Mytilus edulis: one gene and its partner. The protein of the gene in region 2 interacts with the protein of the main gene of each other region in a biochemical or structural test. Links are inferred from orthologs where the notes say so. Each region holds a gene or a part of one and is shown on either strand. Other genes may lie near its edges.

Region 1 (7,918 bases), on a different chromosome or scaffold from region 2:
GATTTTCATGTCATATGTGATAAGGTTTAGTCAGTTTCCTCCTGCAGGTTGGCGTTTTCCTTCAAGTACTACGGTTTAGTACGCCACTAAAACTGACTGCCATGAAATTACCCATATGTTGTAGAAAGTGATGTTTATAAAACCAAAGCAAACAATCAAAGCTTTAAATCTTTGTCCATTTGTACAAGGAGCCGTAGTGGTTGAGCCATTTAACTTATGGTAATTTTACCAAACTGTGACCACAACTTCAAGATGTGACATCAGGCCTCTGTTCAATGGACAGTCCCACAATAAAAGTTAATTTTTCACGTCATACATTTTATATGGTTAATTTGTCAGTTTCCTGTCTCAGTTCTGTGTTTTTTTCTGGGTGCTTTGTTTAACTCTGCCAATAAAACTGACTGTCTTACATGAAATTATCCATGATGTAGAATGTGAAATTGACAGTTGACCTCTTTCAAAGAAACCACCAGCATGTACACACAACAATGCTGCAATCTTTTAGACAACATTGATCTAGAGACTGTATGATTTACATGTATAAAGCTTTTAAATGTAAAAAAATAAAAAAAATCCCTACCTACCTACCCACCTGCTGATAGTGTGGGTCGGCAATGCCAAACAAACATTTTTTTAAGGGTGGCCTAACATGAATATTATATTTAAGTCACATTTATAACGGTAAAAGACAAAGTAATAAACTTTTGGGGTGTTCGGTGGTGTTCGGCAGTGTGCGGTGGTGAAAAGACCTACCCGTAAAATAATATGGAGCCCATTGTACCATGGATAGGGAAATACTAAAAAATGTTGTTAAGTCACTCTACCCAAATACATTACTTTTTTTGTTTTTATATCTACTACACATGTTCATGTATTAATGTAGTATCATGTTGAAAAAAAATATAAGGGGTTGATGATGGAAGTGTTTAACGACCTTGACTTGCTTTACAGCCCTTGCAATGTTGGTGACTCCTCATTTAAGGCCATGGCAAAGTTGATGCAATATCTTACAATATTAATGCAAACCTTGGACTGTAAATACCAGTTTTGAAAATGATGAATCCAGACAGATTTTTAGGAGTTCTGTTGACTAATATGACTCGATTGTCTAAGTGTGAACCCTGATTTTGGTTTTCCAATTATTTTTTTTTCAGTGACAAATGATTAACTTTGCCACTTGGCTGTGAGAAGACAAAATAACTTACTGTTGACCAAAAAAAAAGTATTTGGAAGGTCTGCCATGATTTATTCTGACAACAGAAATAGGTGTCTTTAGCACTACATGTACAATGTATTTCCTAAGATAATATTTATTACAACTTAACAAAGTTCAAAGATATAGACAACAGCAGAATGAAAATTTAAAGCAAGTTCGTGACCGTGTGACATTTCTCAAAAAATTATTAGTGAAATAAGTACATAGTGTTATAATCAAGTATATACACCTTGTCATTTGAAAATCTGTCCCGCTGGACCCAAGAATCTGTCCTGCTTGAACTTCTGACGTCATATATACAATAATCACTTTTCCACTGTGGCATCAGATATTTACTAGGAACTGGCTACGGTTACATTGGAGACTAATTGCCGGAATGCAAAGTTGGGTAAGGAATTGATTAATTACAAATGTAACAATAATTACTGAGGCTACGGTTACATTACTTTATTGTTACATGAAAAACAGCAATGTACGCTAGATTGATTAAACTTAAATCTTCTATAGTTGTATTGCTTCATTATTTCATATGTACCAAACATTACTTGTAGTTTAATACTGATAAATAATAAAATATTATTATTCAACAAATGGTGTACAACTTGAATAGTTTTACTACGTATTAATGGTTTTGATGTTCTTAAAGATACTACTCAAGATTAGGAGTGTGACTGTCAAAGGCGAAAAATATAGTTCAATGGTTTCACTTTTTTAAAGTATTTAACTGCACACCTACTCTTATTACTGTCATTATATTTTGGACCAATTTTGTTTATGGTGAAAAAAATAAAACTTGGGATGCGTTTTAAATGAAACTGAAAGAATATCAAGACATACATTTCATACAGCTTTATAACTTGACGCAAATTGATAATCAAAAGCAAAGTTTGCTAACTGTAACTTAAATACTAAGAAATTCTGTATGTACACGTATGCGTGGAGGACGTAATTTCGTTCATCAAAAATGTGTCGGACTTTAAAAACAACTTACTGGATTTGTAGAAATTGTCATTGTGAATAAAAAATTACAGTAAATAAATTGTATGTTATAAATGTATGTAATAAATGTCCTCAACTTTCATTATTTAGTACATATTACTAGTCCCATCGTGCATTGCTTTTTTCATGTAACAATAACGCAATGTAACCGTAGCCTCAATAATTATTGTTACATTCGTAATTAAGCCGGTCCTTACCCAACCATGCATTCCGGCATTTACTCTCCAATGTAACAATAATATTTTTTATTATTGTTACATTTCCATGTAACCGTAGCCAGTGCCTATTTACTATTTCAAAGTTCCCATAAAAATTTGATGTCATATATATATAATTTTGTGATGTCCAGTATTGGCGGACAAATAGCGATAAGGTGTATTGTTTTTCAAAGACAATTAAGTACATGCAACTATCTCTTGGTCCCAGATTTATCAGTGTGTCAAATCACAAACTTACATGTATGACACTATAATTTATAAAAATGGCTTCTCTAAATTTTGAATCAATCATCAACCGTAATTTATAAGCATATATAATTTTGCCCTAGATAAGATCAGATATAATAATTTGAGATAATGGGCACTCAAATTTTAATAGCTAAATAGGTTAAATCAGGGTTAAATTCAATAAACTTGTCTTGTTGCATGTACCTCTAAAGCTCCAGTATTTTGCCGTTTTCCAGGTGAAACTTTTGTGAAAAATGTTGAAATCTTTGCTTGATTATTCATTATTATTCTAAGGAGTTGAATGTTGTTATTGATAACCATGTGGAAATTTCCCGCGTAATACATTGACCTCCGGGTTCACCTAATCAAAATTGTGCTTCTTTGAATTAAGGGAAATTATCCAATCATAGCATGTGTAACTTCAACAACTTGGATTATTTTTGTTTACATCCGCTTCTGAAATATTTCACATGCACGATTCAGGAAACAACAAGTTTGAATCATTAAAACAGTAAAAAGATTGAACAGAAGTAAGATGCTTCAATAACAAATATGTACACATATAAACAAACACATGTATATATTTTTGTTTGCCAATCTAGAATGAGCAGAATAATTACAATCACTATTTTCAAACATACTAGATTGCTTGAAGTCCAGTGGCAAATATTTCATGCGTTTTTTAGAACGATTAAACATTTATTTAATATACTTTAAACATCACCTATTCCCTGCATATCCTTGTATTATTGGTTATCTTCTTCCCTGCACCTTCAATCAGTGATCAGTTATTCTTGTATCACAGCTTTGAGTTTGAGACCAGGCATAATCAGCGAAGTCACAATGACATCTAAGCAGAAGTTATCAGCGACGTTTCAATGTGAGAGGAGACGTAATTAAGCTTGTTTCTGTCAAGCATAAAACTTTCTTAGAGAAGGAAAAAAGAGTTAGACGGTAATAATACGATAAACAGATGAATTTGGTTTTGTGTATGCTCCACAACTTGAAGCTTTTAAGCTCTTTTGCTGTGCTCACTCACCCCAAAAAGTTCACATTGTGGCTCACGGCTGATATTTTATGATATCTTTGTGTAGTAAACCCAAAAATCTACATTTATTGTGTTTATTAGATTGATTGTGACATCACAATTTCCATTAAAAAAGCATAAACAGTATACAAATTACATTTGATGTATGATAAATGTATATGATTTGGCGATAGGTATAATTTGATTATTTTATTGGATACCAACCAGATCAAGAGAATCACTCAAATTTAGTTTTATCGGTATCACAAATACTTTTAAGAACTGGATCTCAATGAGCACCACTGGACATTTTTCAACAAGAGATATTGTGAGCTAGGGGCATTTGGATATACAAATGTATTGCTTTTAGATGGGTGCACAATGCTTATAACATTTTAAATGTCTGTCTGATGTGTTGTGTAACCATATCAAGATCAAGATGTACAGTTCAGGAATATCCAGTAAATAGAATAATATAATTTAATTCATGTAGAATATACCAGGTCACAAATTATTTGATGTAAACTGAGATATATACCAATTGCAGTGTATATTATTTTCTTCTCTTTTAATCTGTTAATGAAATTTGAGCAAAAATTAACCCTTACCATGCGAGGGCCGTAATATTATGGCCACACCCAAAGCACTGTTATTTGGCACGCTCCAAACATTTTGAGGTCAACGTCATGCCATTTACACTGTGCTTAAACGGCTGTGGGTAACTTAAGTTACCCACAGCCCAAGATGGCGGACTCTAAACTCGTTGATATTTAATTCATACAAAATGTACCTTTTGCGACGTTTTTCATGCAGAATGTAAATCTTTATAGGATTATTGAATAAAGAAATGACTAACAATTACCATAAATTTGTTAATATAGAGTTCACTAAAGCGCAAGGTCAACTTTAAAAAATGCATAATATGTCCGTAACTTTTTTATCGAAACTAAGCAGACTGTCCGTAACTTTATTTTTAGATGTGGGTAACTTTTGATTTAAAATTTTAAAATTAGAAGACAATTAACATCATATTTGTAACCTTCGCGGCCGTTTATACTACTCATTCACCACCAAATGTGATTTTATCAACGCATCATACTTACACCACAGAAGTTTTATGTGGGGTTTGTGGTACTCCATCCTGGTTATGGTTTGAACTTTTATTTACTGATGTGCGTCTTATCGACGTTTTTGGCTTGTCAGACCAAGGCTTTTCCATACTCTTTAATGTTTTGAGTTTAATTATATGTTTGCGGTTTACCTTCACCTCTGTTTCTTTCTATGTGTATTTTGATGAATACTCTTTGACGAGGCTCGGTATTTATACATCCCACCAGTTAGTTATAGTGTTATGATTTTTTGAATATGTTTCCTAGTATGTTTTTTTTTCTCTCTTTGTATGTTATCAGGGGTTGTTAGACTATTAAATTACCCTGTTGTCCTACGTAGTTATTTATATTTTTATATACTATGTCGAATTGTTACAGTTATGTTGACTGCTCTTTTCCTTTTATTGTCACTGACTTTTACCTATTGTGTCTTTTAGTTTTATTCAGTTTAATGAGATTTGATGCAACTTGCATACAAATGAAATATGCAGCTAGCTGTAAAACTAGGTTTATTCATTTATACAAAATGTCCTTTTTTTTTAAAAGTTTTCCCATTTACTGTAAATCTTGGCCAGGGTGCCGCAATATCACCGTGCGCAACGTCCCAGTGTGTCCAGATTGACACCCCTTTTATTTTACTGTCAATGCTGATGGGATTTGTTTGTGTGGGGATGAGAGAAAAGTGTTTTTGGCTTTTTCAAAAAGACGGGAAAAGTTTGTGCACTTAAGTCTCGTATAGTCTATCCACTGCATGCCTGGGCAATTTGGGTTCCCCTCCAAAATCCCGAATTCACGCTACCCTTGTCGTAACGTTGCTGGCAGAAAATCAGTAAGTGTATACATGCTACATGTATGTGTAAAAAATACTTGTGTAGTCTACTTGTTCAAAAATAAAAACGAACAATGATGTTTCAACAGTTTATCTGCTATGATCGGAAACAACCCTCCGAACTAGGCGATTCGGGTACCCCGACGTTATACAAAATGAGAGTTTTGCGGATTTATCGTGATTTTTTTCATATTTTCCCAATTTTGTCTTCCATCGATACAATGAATTATATCATACTAGACATCTACTTCGTTTTGTGAATATGTATTCGATGCAATCTCTATCATCAGTTTAAACATTACATCCGCGTATGTCGATTCTTTGAAAGTTACGGACATCTCTATTGGTATGATGAAAAAAGTTACGGACAAGTTGTTTTGAAGTTACGGACAGCCTAAGTGTTTTTTAAAATCGTGCTGTGATCGTTTATTTTGTAGAATTTAATCACCTTTCCAATTTAGGGGTTTCCCTAAACGATTAATACAACTTTTAAATTCAGTTGTTTAAGTTGATGCATTCGTGGTATTGTTATTCTATAGAAGAAAAGTATCTAACCGACGCAAGGCGGCTCCATCTTGGGCTGTGGGTAACTTAAGTTACCCACAGCCGTTTAAGCACAGTGATTTAATTGGAAGTGTATGCATGTTTCCTCAATCTTGCACAATTAATTGTCATCTTTCTCACTTTTAAAGTTCATTTTGAGCTCAAATACAAACTTGGAAAATTGAAATCAGACCAAAGTGTTGTTTTTTTTGAGTGGTGGGCTTACCTTCGAGGTCTGAAATCAGAATTTTTTAGAATTTTGGTGCAAACGACCTTTTTTAGACTGATTTACCCAGATCAGTTTCACTCTAATCTAACAACTGTTGTGATAAATGTGTTCACTGGGGTCCACTCTACATCTAAACAATAGCTGGATGCATCTATTAGCATTCCTCTTACCTCCTGGTCGAGAAAAATAACATAAAAACGTCAAAATTGACACTTTTTGCACATGAGGACCAAATTAGGGCCAAATAAAATAGTATGTGCATTTCCAGTTACATTTAAAAAAGTTAGGGTACTCTTTGATAGGTACATTGTACATGTAGGTAGGAATTTTGTTTTTAGTTTTGATTGTTTTTTTTTTTTACTGTAACATTGAGTCTATTGGAGCGACACTCTGACTTTGACAGTGCTGAATGAAAAATGACAAGTAATTGGAACCACAGTTGTACAAATTCTACTGTAAAATGTATACAAATTTAAAACAATGTTTAAATGTAAAGACTAATCTTACTTCCATAGTTAGTCACAGAAGAACCAAAATATATGTTTAAAGCCTAGTGTTTCTCGTCCTACATCCTACCGAGGACTCATTAATTTTTCTGTACATACATTTAAACCTGTTTTCACTAAAGACACAATAATAACTTATCATCCTAGATAACAAACAAGGTTAACAGGAGACCAATGTGTAGAAAAATATGTTATCTTTATATCTATAAAACTACTATAAAAAATGTGTAGTAAAGTCCTTAAACACTTTTTAATTTAAAAAAAAAAGGTATCAAGAAGTATCTGACACAATCCTGATAAGTTCCTATTTTTTACAATGTATTATTTTAATTTGAAATGATATTTTTTTTTAATTTTTACCACATGTACCTCTATAACTGATTTATCTGTTTTAATCATTATATTAAATTACACATTGTAAATTAAGTAAGTATAAATATCTGTTTTTATATGCCCCTTTACAGGACACATTATGGTGTACAACTGTCCGTCATTATGTCTGTCTGTCTGTTAGTTGTCAAGTTTACATGTTGGAAAAAAACTCAGAGGCTTTAACCAATTTATTATGAAACTTTTGTGAATTGTTTATATATCTATGGATGTAAGCTCACTTTCACTTTTTGTAAATTTAATATTTTAAGTTTCTGAAGTATATTGTGTATGGGATTTTATTCATAAAAAAGGGGGATCCAGTTTTCAAAACCATTACTCTAAAGTGCTTTGAGCAGTTTTCAGGATGATTGATTACTGGTTTCTATCTGTTAAAATAACCTCCCTCTAAATAACTTCATTCTTTGGAAAAGTTATCTTCCTTGGAAATGCATAGAATGACTTTGCCTTCATTTGTATTTCGTAGAAGAGCTGTTACTCTTGGTAATCTTCATTACTTTTGTTTATGATGTGAACATTCCTTGAGTGCTATTTTATCAATCCTGAGCCAGCTTTTAAATTTGCTGACTGTTTTATTCTCAATTTTGGATGGTTATATATACTTTCTTTCACATTTCTGGTTTT
Region 2 (7,661 bases):
ACATCATATAAGTTTTAAAATATAAAATGACATATATAGTCATGGCTAAAATTAATATTAATAAATAGGAACTGCTAAAAATAAATTGACAGCTAATCAATTCAAGACAGTCATCATTTCTTAATACATAATTTACAAGCAGTGTAAGGGAGGTAATCAAATATTGTTCTTTAAAATTGATTTGGATTACCTTCCTCAACACTTTGACAAAACAGTGACCTAGATTTTACAGAAAGACTCCTGTTGGCAATTTTTTACCTCTTTGTGTTCCTGTACCACCTATGCATGCATTTATGAAAATTATTTATACCTACAGTCACTTCCAGTTGCGTAGTGGACATCAAAAGTTGCCCATCCCCACCTGATTTTTGCTACTTTTCACGTTTATCTGATTTTGAACTCTTAAACGGTTTTCAAAGTGCCATATTTTCATAAACAGACATCTGAGAAGAGTTTATGAATCATGAACTGCTTGGTTGAAGTCCCTGTTATCATGACAGTTCAGCTTGGGCACTTCAAAAAAAGTATTGAGGGTCATATGGGCCATCAAAGAATGGTTGTCGCCATCACCCCTACAGGCGGTTTTTGGGGCTAAAAGGTTAAGCCATAAACCCCCAAAGTCAATCTTAACCATCCCTTTGTAGTATGGAAACTTGTGGTATAATTTCAGAGAGATTTAACACAAGTTATTGTCTTGAAACTACAAAAATGCTTATTTGGGCCCCTTTTTTGGTCCCTAATTCCTAAACAGTTGGGACCATTTAGTCACCATTACCCCAAAAATCAATTCAAACCTTCCTTTAGTGGTTACAAACCTTGTGTTGACATTTTCTATATGCTTATACTAAAGTTATTATCCGGAAACCATTTTTTCTACAAAATGCTGGAGAAATAGTCCTGTGTGTGATAAATTCATTATACGGTTTCCTCCTGACCCCCTACAGATCATAAAGTTAAATAGAATCCATAGGAGAAAATATACCTGGATGTCTATCATCAAAAGGATCTGGGTCCATCTTGTAAAATTCTTCTGTTTCTCTTTCAATAATATCTGATAACCTGTAATAAATAGGCTTATTGAATAAAGTGTGATTACGTGTTAGTTTTAACAGTTTGATATATACATGTATTTCTTTCAATTATCAGTTGAAATTGATTGTATCATTAAAAGTTACACTTAAATTGTATTTTAGTATAATTCATGCAGGTGCAATGTATCTCAACAAAAAAATGAAACTGGTATGATATAATACAATGAACTTGAATCTTTGCTTCAAGACCTGATCATAACCTTTTTCATCTAAGTACACAACTGTTAGATACACAGTACAAAATGTAAGTCAATCTGATTAGTAGTTGAGAAAAGCGGTATATTCAAAAACTCTTAAGAGCGTTTCTCTGTTTTATTGTATATCTACTCAACATATATTAGGTATTCCTTACTTTGTAAGCATGTTAATGATTTCATTGTTGTCAAGTCTGTTACGATATTCATTTGTAATCCATTCATCCAAAAAACCATTAAATTTAGTCAATGAATCTAGGGCAGCCATATCTCTGTTCTACAACACAATGTATATTTCTAACCTGCAAAAATAAAAACAACATATGTTATATATTGTAGCAGTGCTTCCCATGACATACATATAGATGTATAAACAACAAACATCAAATATCCCTTTGTTGGTAGAATCATATTTTTTAAACCACTCACTCAACATGGGAAGAAAAGTGACAGTTCCCCTAAGCACACAAATGATGTTCACTTAAACAAAACCTCTTGAGAGAAATGCATCCAATTCTAATGTTGTCTATAGATTTCATGATAAAAATGAAATGTATAGCAAGAAGAAATCTGTAGTGAACTAAACAAAAAATTAGTATTACTTTAAACATGACAAAACATTAAAATCAAATGGGTCTTTTCTATGTTTGTCTAAACTTCTGATTACAACAGTAGTATTTGTTAAGCTTAGTCAGTATACACACTGCCTTGTAACACAGTGGTCCTGGGCTTCAAGTCCTGGAGAAGACAAAGATGATTTTGTATGAAGAATCATGCTTCTACTTCGACTTCTACCATTTTGCGGCCACCATCAACAAAACTGATTAATTTGCACTGGCACTTATTTCTGTCAATATGGGGTTTACTAAAAAACTTTTGTACGGGTATGGATAGTAAACGACTTATTGACAGAAACAAGTGCCTGTGTTATTTTGTCACTTTTTGGATACACATGTAAATATTTTAGATAAAATTATGTTAACATTTTTTGTGCTATACAAATGTACATTCTACATGTGTATACAGTGAGGTTAAAAACACCCATGACGGTGGTCTAATCGTCTCATGTAGGTGAGTCTTGAAACTTTCAAGACTACCTGCACTGGAGGTGGTAAGTGGTAGTCTAGTCCCTTATTATTCTTGGATAGAACAATTCTTTCCTCATGGTTCTGCAAGTTGGTAATTGGAAACCGTTGATGTTTAAGTTCCAGGATAATGTCTGGTGGAATGAGCGTGTCTTCTGTATATAGGTTCACCATCCCGTTCGAAATTTTCCGAAATGCTCTCCCTGTTACACATAAGTTACATTGAGGGGTTTTCCCAATCTTTTTACCATTATCATTGAATGTCAACATTTTTTTTTACTTGTTATCAGGTGTCAGTTAAAATACTCGGTCCTAGCTTCAACATATATCTTAATATGAATGTAAAAGTATGGTCAATTTAAAATACTGGTAAAGTGAATTTCACAACAACTTTTAGTTATGTTACAGTAACAGAGAAAGTAAGCATTTCAAAGATTACAAGTATGTACAGCATGTGAATAAGTCGACAGTACAACATTTAGTTTGTCTATATATAATTTTCCTGCTTGTTTCACTGAAAACTGTCTCTTATTTATCATGTTTATGCTACCTAAATAACAAATTTCCCGCAATCTTTTTCGTTCATGCTTTATTTTTTTTTTTGAATACGAAAGTAATAGGAAAAGCCATTCTATCGGTTTTCGGATTTTTACCATAAAAATAATTGTGCATTTGGCGGGAATATTTAAAAGTAAGAAACACCTTTTCGAGTCTTAGTTTCGTGTCCACATGTAATCATATATGTCTCTTCTCTTGTGGGATTTTAATAAAGATTAGATAAAATCTTTATTAATGTAAAGATTGTGTTTGTGTTTTTCCTTTTAGCCTTAGGCTTAACTAGGGACCGCCGATTGATGCACCTTAGAGATTTTTTTCTCGCAGTAATACACCTTATCGCTATTCCCGGCTGACCCGTCCGCTTGAACTTTTGACGTCAACGACAATCACTTTTCCATTGTGGCGTCAGACATTTTGTTTTATGACGTCAAAATTTTACGGGAACCTGTGTGATTTCCAGCAATGGCGGACAAATAGCGATAAGGTGTATACTCGCAGTAATATGGCTAAAAATGACCCGTATTCCTTCGATTTACTTACTGAAGGCCGTACTTTGATCTATAATTAGGGAGCTACCATTTGATTTTTATGGGGGGGTCTAGGATGAAATTTGAAAAAAATAGACAGGACAGGAGTTTTGAGTAAAAAAAAAAAAGGCAGGATGAGACACTTGCCAAAAAAAAAAAAGGCAGATAAACTAAAAAAAAAAAAAAAAAAAAAGCAGGACCGAATAGAGTGAAAAATAAAAAGACAGGACAGAGATTACAACTAAAAAAAAATGCAGGACAAAATTTTTCATCCTAGCATTGATCGGCCAAAAAAAGGGGAGTTCCAACCCCCGGAACCCCTCCCTGGATCCGCCACTGACTTGATCTGCTTTAATATTATCGCTCACTTATTACTCCCAAAGTACCATCAAATCATTTACCAAATTTATTATATGGCAGTGGTTATTTTGTAAACTTATATTTGTTCCGCCTAACAGAAGTTCCAATGGAAACTTTGTTATAAACATTGTCACTCATATTCTATACCTTTTATTCCATTAGGAACATATACTGTAATAATTATTCCTATAGAAATAATATTCCAGAAAAAATAACAAGCTTCTCAATACACTAGAATATATTGATATGGGGTTACTTAAGCAACCAAAAAAGCAAAACATATATATAAGTCAATGTGCTTGTTTTTCGAGATATTAGCCATTGAAATTTTGGCGGGGAAAATATTCTCTCTTTATTTTTTATAGCATTATCATTGACAATTGAAAGTTCTCAAAAAGTATTATTTTTTTTTTACATTAGATGTGTTTTCACTATAATACGAGATTCTGATTGGCTACTCTGCAAGCTCGCGTTATTCTTTAAGCAGTTTCATTACACAATAAAATTTATCATTCATGATGACACGAGGCCCCACAATAAAGTGCACAGGTAAATGAAATAAAACTTGATAAAATTCGTGTTTTTATGCTCTTGCTTAAAAAACGTAATTATAAGCATTGAATGCTTCTTTTTTGCCGTAACTTCATAGGGTTGTAAAAGCGTTGACCGTGCGCACATTTTTAGAATGAAGCGCTTAGCGCTTAAGCGCTTCATACAAAATGCTTCGGTCAACGCTTTTTCACCCCAATGAAGTTACAAAAAGAAGCATTCAATTCTCAAATAACTAAGATTTTATAAGACTTTTACAGATGGCTTATAATAATACATGTAAAAGATCCATAAAAAGAAAAATAGGGGGTCAATGGGCAAATTTTTTAAGGCATTCAAATGGATAAAACCATAGGATATTGAGAATCTGACAAAAATCCCAAAACATGACAACCGTCCGAACATCCAGCTTAAAGAGGCACTAGCTACGAAATCTATGAAAAATCTAATATATTTTTTTGCTCTATCATTAATGAAATACAAATAGTGAAATAATAATTCGGCTTGAGCCGCCAGTATGGTTAAATGTTGTCAAAATAAGCCAATAAACATCGATTATGAATAATTCACTTGCAAGTGAATAATTCGACCTCATTGAATCCGTTTTCATGTGAACTTCAATTTAACTCCTTAGCTTGAGATGGATAACACGTGAATTGTATGTGTAAAGTTTTTTTTAAAGGAAAAGAATGTCAACATTGAAAGTGAAACAAAGGTAAAACATTTGATTGACTGATTCGATCCACAAAACATCATTCTTATACAGATAAAAACGACGAAAACACTATTTCCACTATAATATGAAATCAAATAGACCTAGAATAATTCAACAGCACGAGTTGGTTAATCTTTTCATATCTATATTTATGTTTACTTAGCTTATATGGCCATCGGATTACTTTACTTTAGAGGTCAACTCGATAATTAATTAGATGGCGTCTAAATTAAAATACACACTAAACGAAGCGGGTTTAACAGTCTTAACAGGCGCCAACCTACAACCTAACCTGAATCAGTATTGTAACAATGATGTCTATTTTTTTATTATACGATTGACAGGCATTTTTTTTCACGAAATAGTTTTACGTTTACGCGAATTAACCTGTAATTTACATGCGTTTTGATCCTGAGAATAACTTGAATTTTAAGATTTTTTGTTTAAAATTAATTATATTGATAGATAATTTACTATATAATATAATCAAACAAGTGTTAAATTAAGTTTCTTATTCAAACCTTAAAAAGCACTAAACGTACGTCGTGCGAATAAAAAGGTTTAATTAAAATACAGTTTATCTTTCCAAGAAATGAACATTCTAAGTATTAAAACATATCCTGGATTTAACACAGTATGTTATATTGATTGGAACAATATATAATACAGTCCTCGTTGTGAAAAGACTCTTGGACACAGTTGGTATGTTTTGTGCCTTAAATTGGAACAGTCGTCCACATTCTTTTTGTCGCCTTATTTGAATACTGTTATCTTTCTTTGGTTTGATTTTACAGAGTCAGAAAAAGCACATAGAGACTGCAGCCAAAGCCTCAAAACGAGTATTCTTGCGCCAAAATTTTAGAGATTTTAACCGAACAGTCCGAGAACTTTGACAACAGAGATCCATGGTCCGACCAACAGCGGAGTACGCTTCTGCTCAATGAGACCCATACAAAGTTAATGACTAAACAGACTCGACAAAGTACAAAGGGAGAGCCCGTTATGACTGTAATAACTACAGAGACAAAAGCCCTGAACGTGTCACAAACATGATTCAACTTCTTAACTTGGAATCACTATAGACCATCGCCTATTGATCACGTACAAGGCCATCAATATCATGATTCCCATACCAGAAACCGACAGTACTTTAGTAGAAAGTGACAACCAAACCAGACGTTCAAACAGACAAGTAGAGCTACACCAAAACAGAAGTGTACAAACAATCCTTCTTTTCACGCACTATCCAGAATTGGAACCTTCTGCCACACCATGCAGTCATGTCACTTTAATTATACTATGAAAATAAGTTCAGGATACAGTCAGATTATTAAATTGCCAAATATAACACTTTAACAAAAAACATAGAATAATTGACTATGTAAAAACTTTAAAAAGTGCTTCATATCAGCTTATCCATACCCCACGTTATTTACAGTGGGGACAACAGAGATCTCTATGATGTCTAGATTATTCTCTTATATGTCCACACTACTAGCCTATGGTACACGAATAAAAGAATGTATGTACCAGGAGATAAGCAACCATTTTATTATTGCCAGTATAGGTGATATCGGTGAGCAGATTAAACAAATTTTACTTATGTTTGTTTTTTTTTATTTCGTATGTCCGGCCTATTTGTATTACTTAGTATTTAAAAAAAAAAGCAAAAAACATATGAACAAAGAAAGCAGGCAGGTTGCAGGAAATTAAAAGAGGCGAAAATACCAAAGTGACACTCAAACTGTCAAGTCGAAAATAAACTGAAAACACAGTGGCAAAAACAAATTATCCAATGTTCCCTAAATATTAAGCTCGGAGTTGTTTCACTGCATTTAGAGTATTTGGTAATCATTTATATTTTTGTGTATTTAAATTTTCAAATGATGTTAATATATGTCATGTTAATGTGCACTTTCCTGCAATATTATTGGGGTACTTGTGTTTTGATTTTCACAATTAATCCAGCCCAGTTTGCTTGTTACAGAATACATGGTTTTCAAGTATAGACTGTATTTTTAAAAAGCTGGGCATACAAACATGTAATTTAAAAACCAGTATCTACTCTTTCACAAAATTTATCAAAGATAAGCTAGATCTCCATTTCTGGAAGGAAAATAGAAATAAAGTTTTACAATCAGATCAAGGTAAACTTACTACCTATTTTTCCTTTAAAACTCTATTTTGTTTTGAAAAATATATGGATCTAAAAGATTTTAGATTAAGACAATCAATCTGTAAAATTAGAATAAGCTCTCATCCATTAAGGATTAAGACTGATAGATATGCTAAACTTTATGTGAATAGGACACTGAGAAAATGTTTATATTGTACTTTAAATAAAGTTGAAGATGAGATACACTTTGTAACTGAATGTCCACTATATATTGATAACAGAAATGAGTTTTTTACTGAAATTTCTCTAAATTGTAATAATTTTCAATCTTTAGACAATTTTTCAAAGTTTTTATGGCTATTTACACAAGAAAATTTAAATGTGTATAAATGTTTAGGAAAGTATTTATCTCAAAATCTAGAGATAAGGAGAAGTTCAAAAATAATAAATGCAAATTAGCCACAAA

The links. The genes of interacting proteins can lie anywhere in the genome.
Region 1: of the proteins of DDB1- and CUL4-associated factor 1-like (region 2) and uracil-DNA glycosylase-like, one has a biochemical effect on the other in vitro, tested with the Homo sapiens proteins (2 studies listed by BioGRID, with this or other methods). The link is inferred for Mytilus edulis from reciprocal best matches to the Homo sapiens genes DCAF1 and UNG.

What each region holds. Positions count from the first base shown.
Region 1 is NC_092347.1:84,815,856-84,823,773, reverse strand, and holds the start of uracil-DNA glycosylase-like, read right to left. Parts: upstream 3,016-7,918; 5' UTR 3,007-3,015; coding exon 2,866-3,006; intron 1-2,865. UniProt on the Homo sapiens protein: Uracil-DNA glycosylase that hydrolyzes the N-glycosidic bond between uracil and deoxyribose in single- and double-stranded DNA (ssDNA and dsDNA) to release a free uracil residue and form an abasic (apurinic/apyrimidinic; AP) site.
Region 2 is NC_092344.1:96,407,753-96,415,413, reverse strand, and holds the start of DDB1- and CUL4-associated factor 1-like, read right to left. Parts: upstream 3,008-7,661; 5' UTR 2,921-3,007; intron 1,588-2,920; 5' UTR 1,554-1,587; coding exon 1,444-1,553; intron 1,060-1,443; coding exon 983-1,059; intron 1-982. UniProt on the Homo sapiens protein: Acts both as a substrate recognition component of E3 ubiquitin-protein ligase complexes and as an atypical serine/threonine-protein kinase, playing key roles in various processes such as cell cycle, telomerase regulation and histone modification.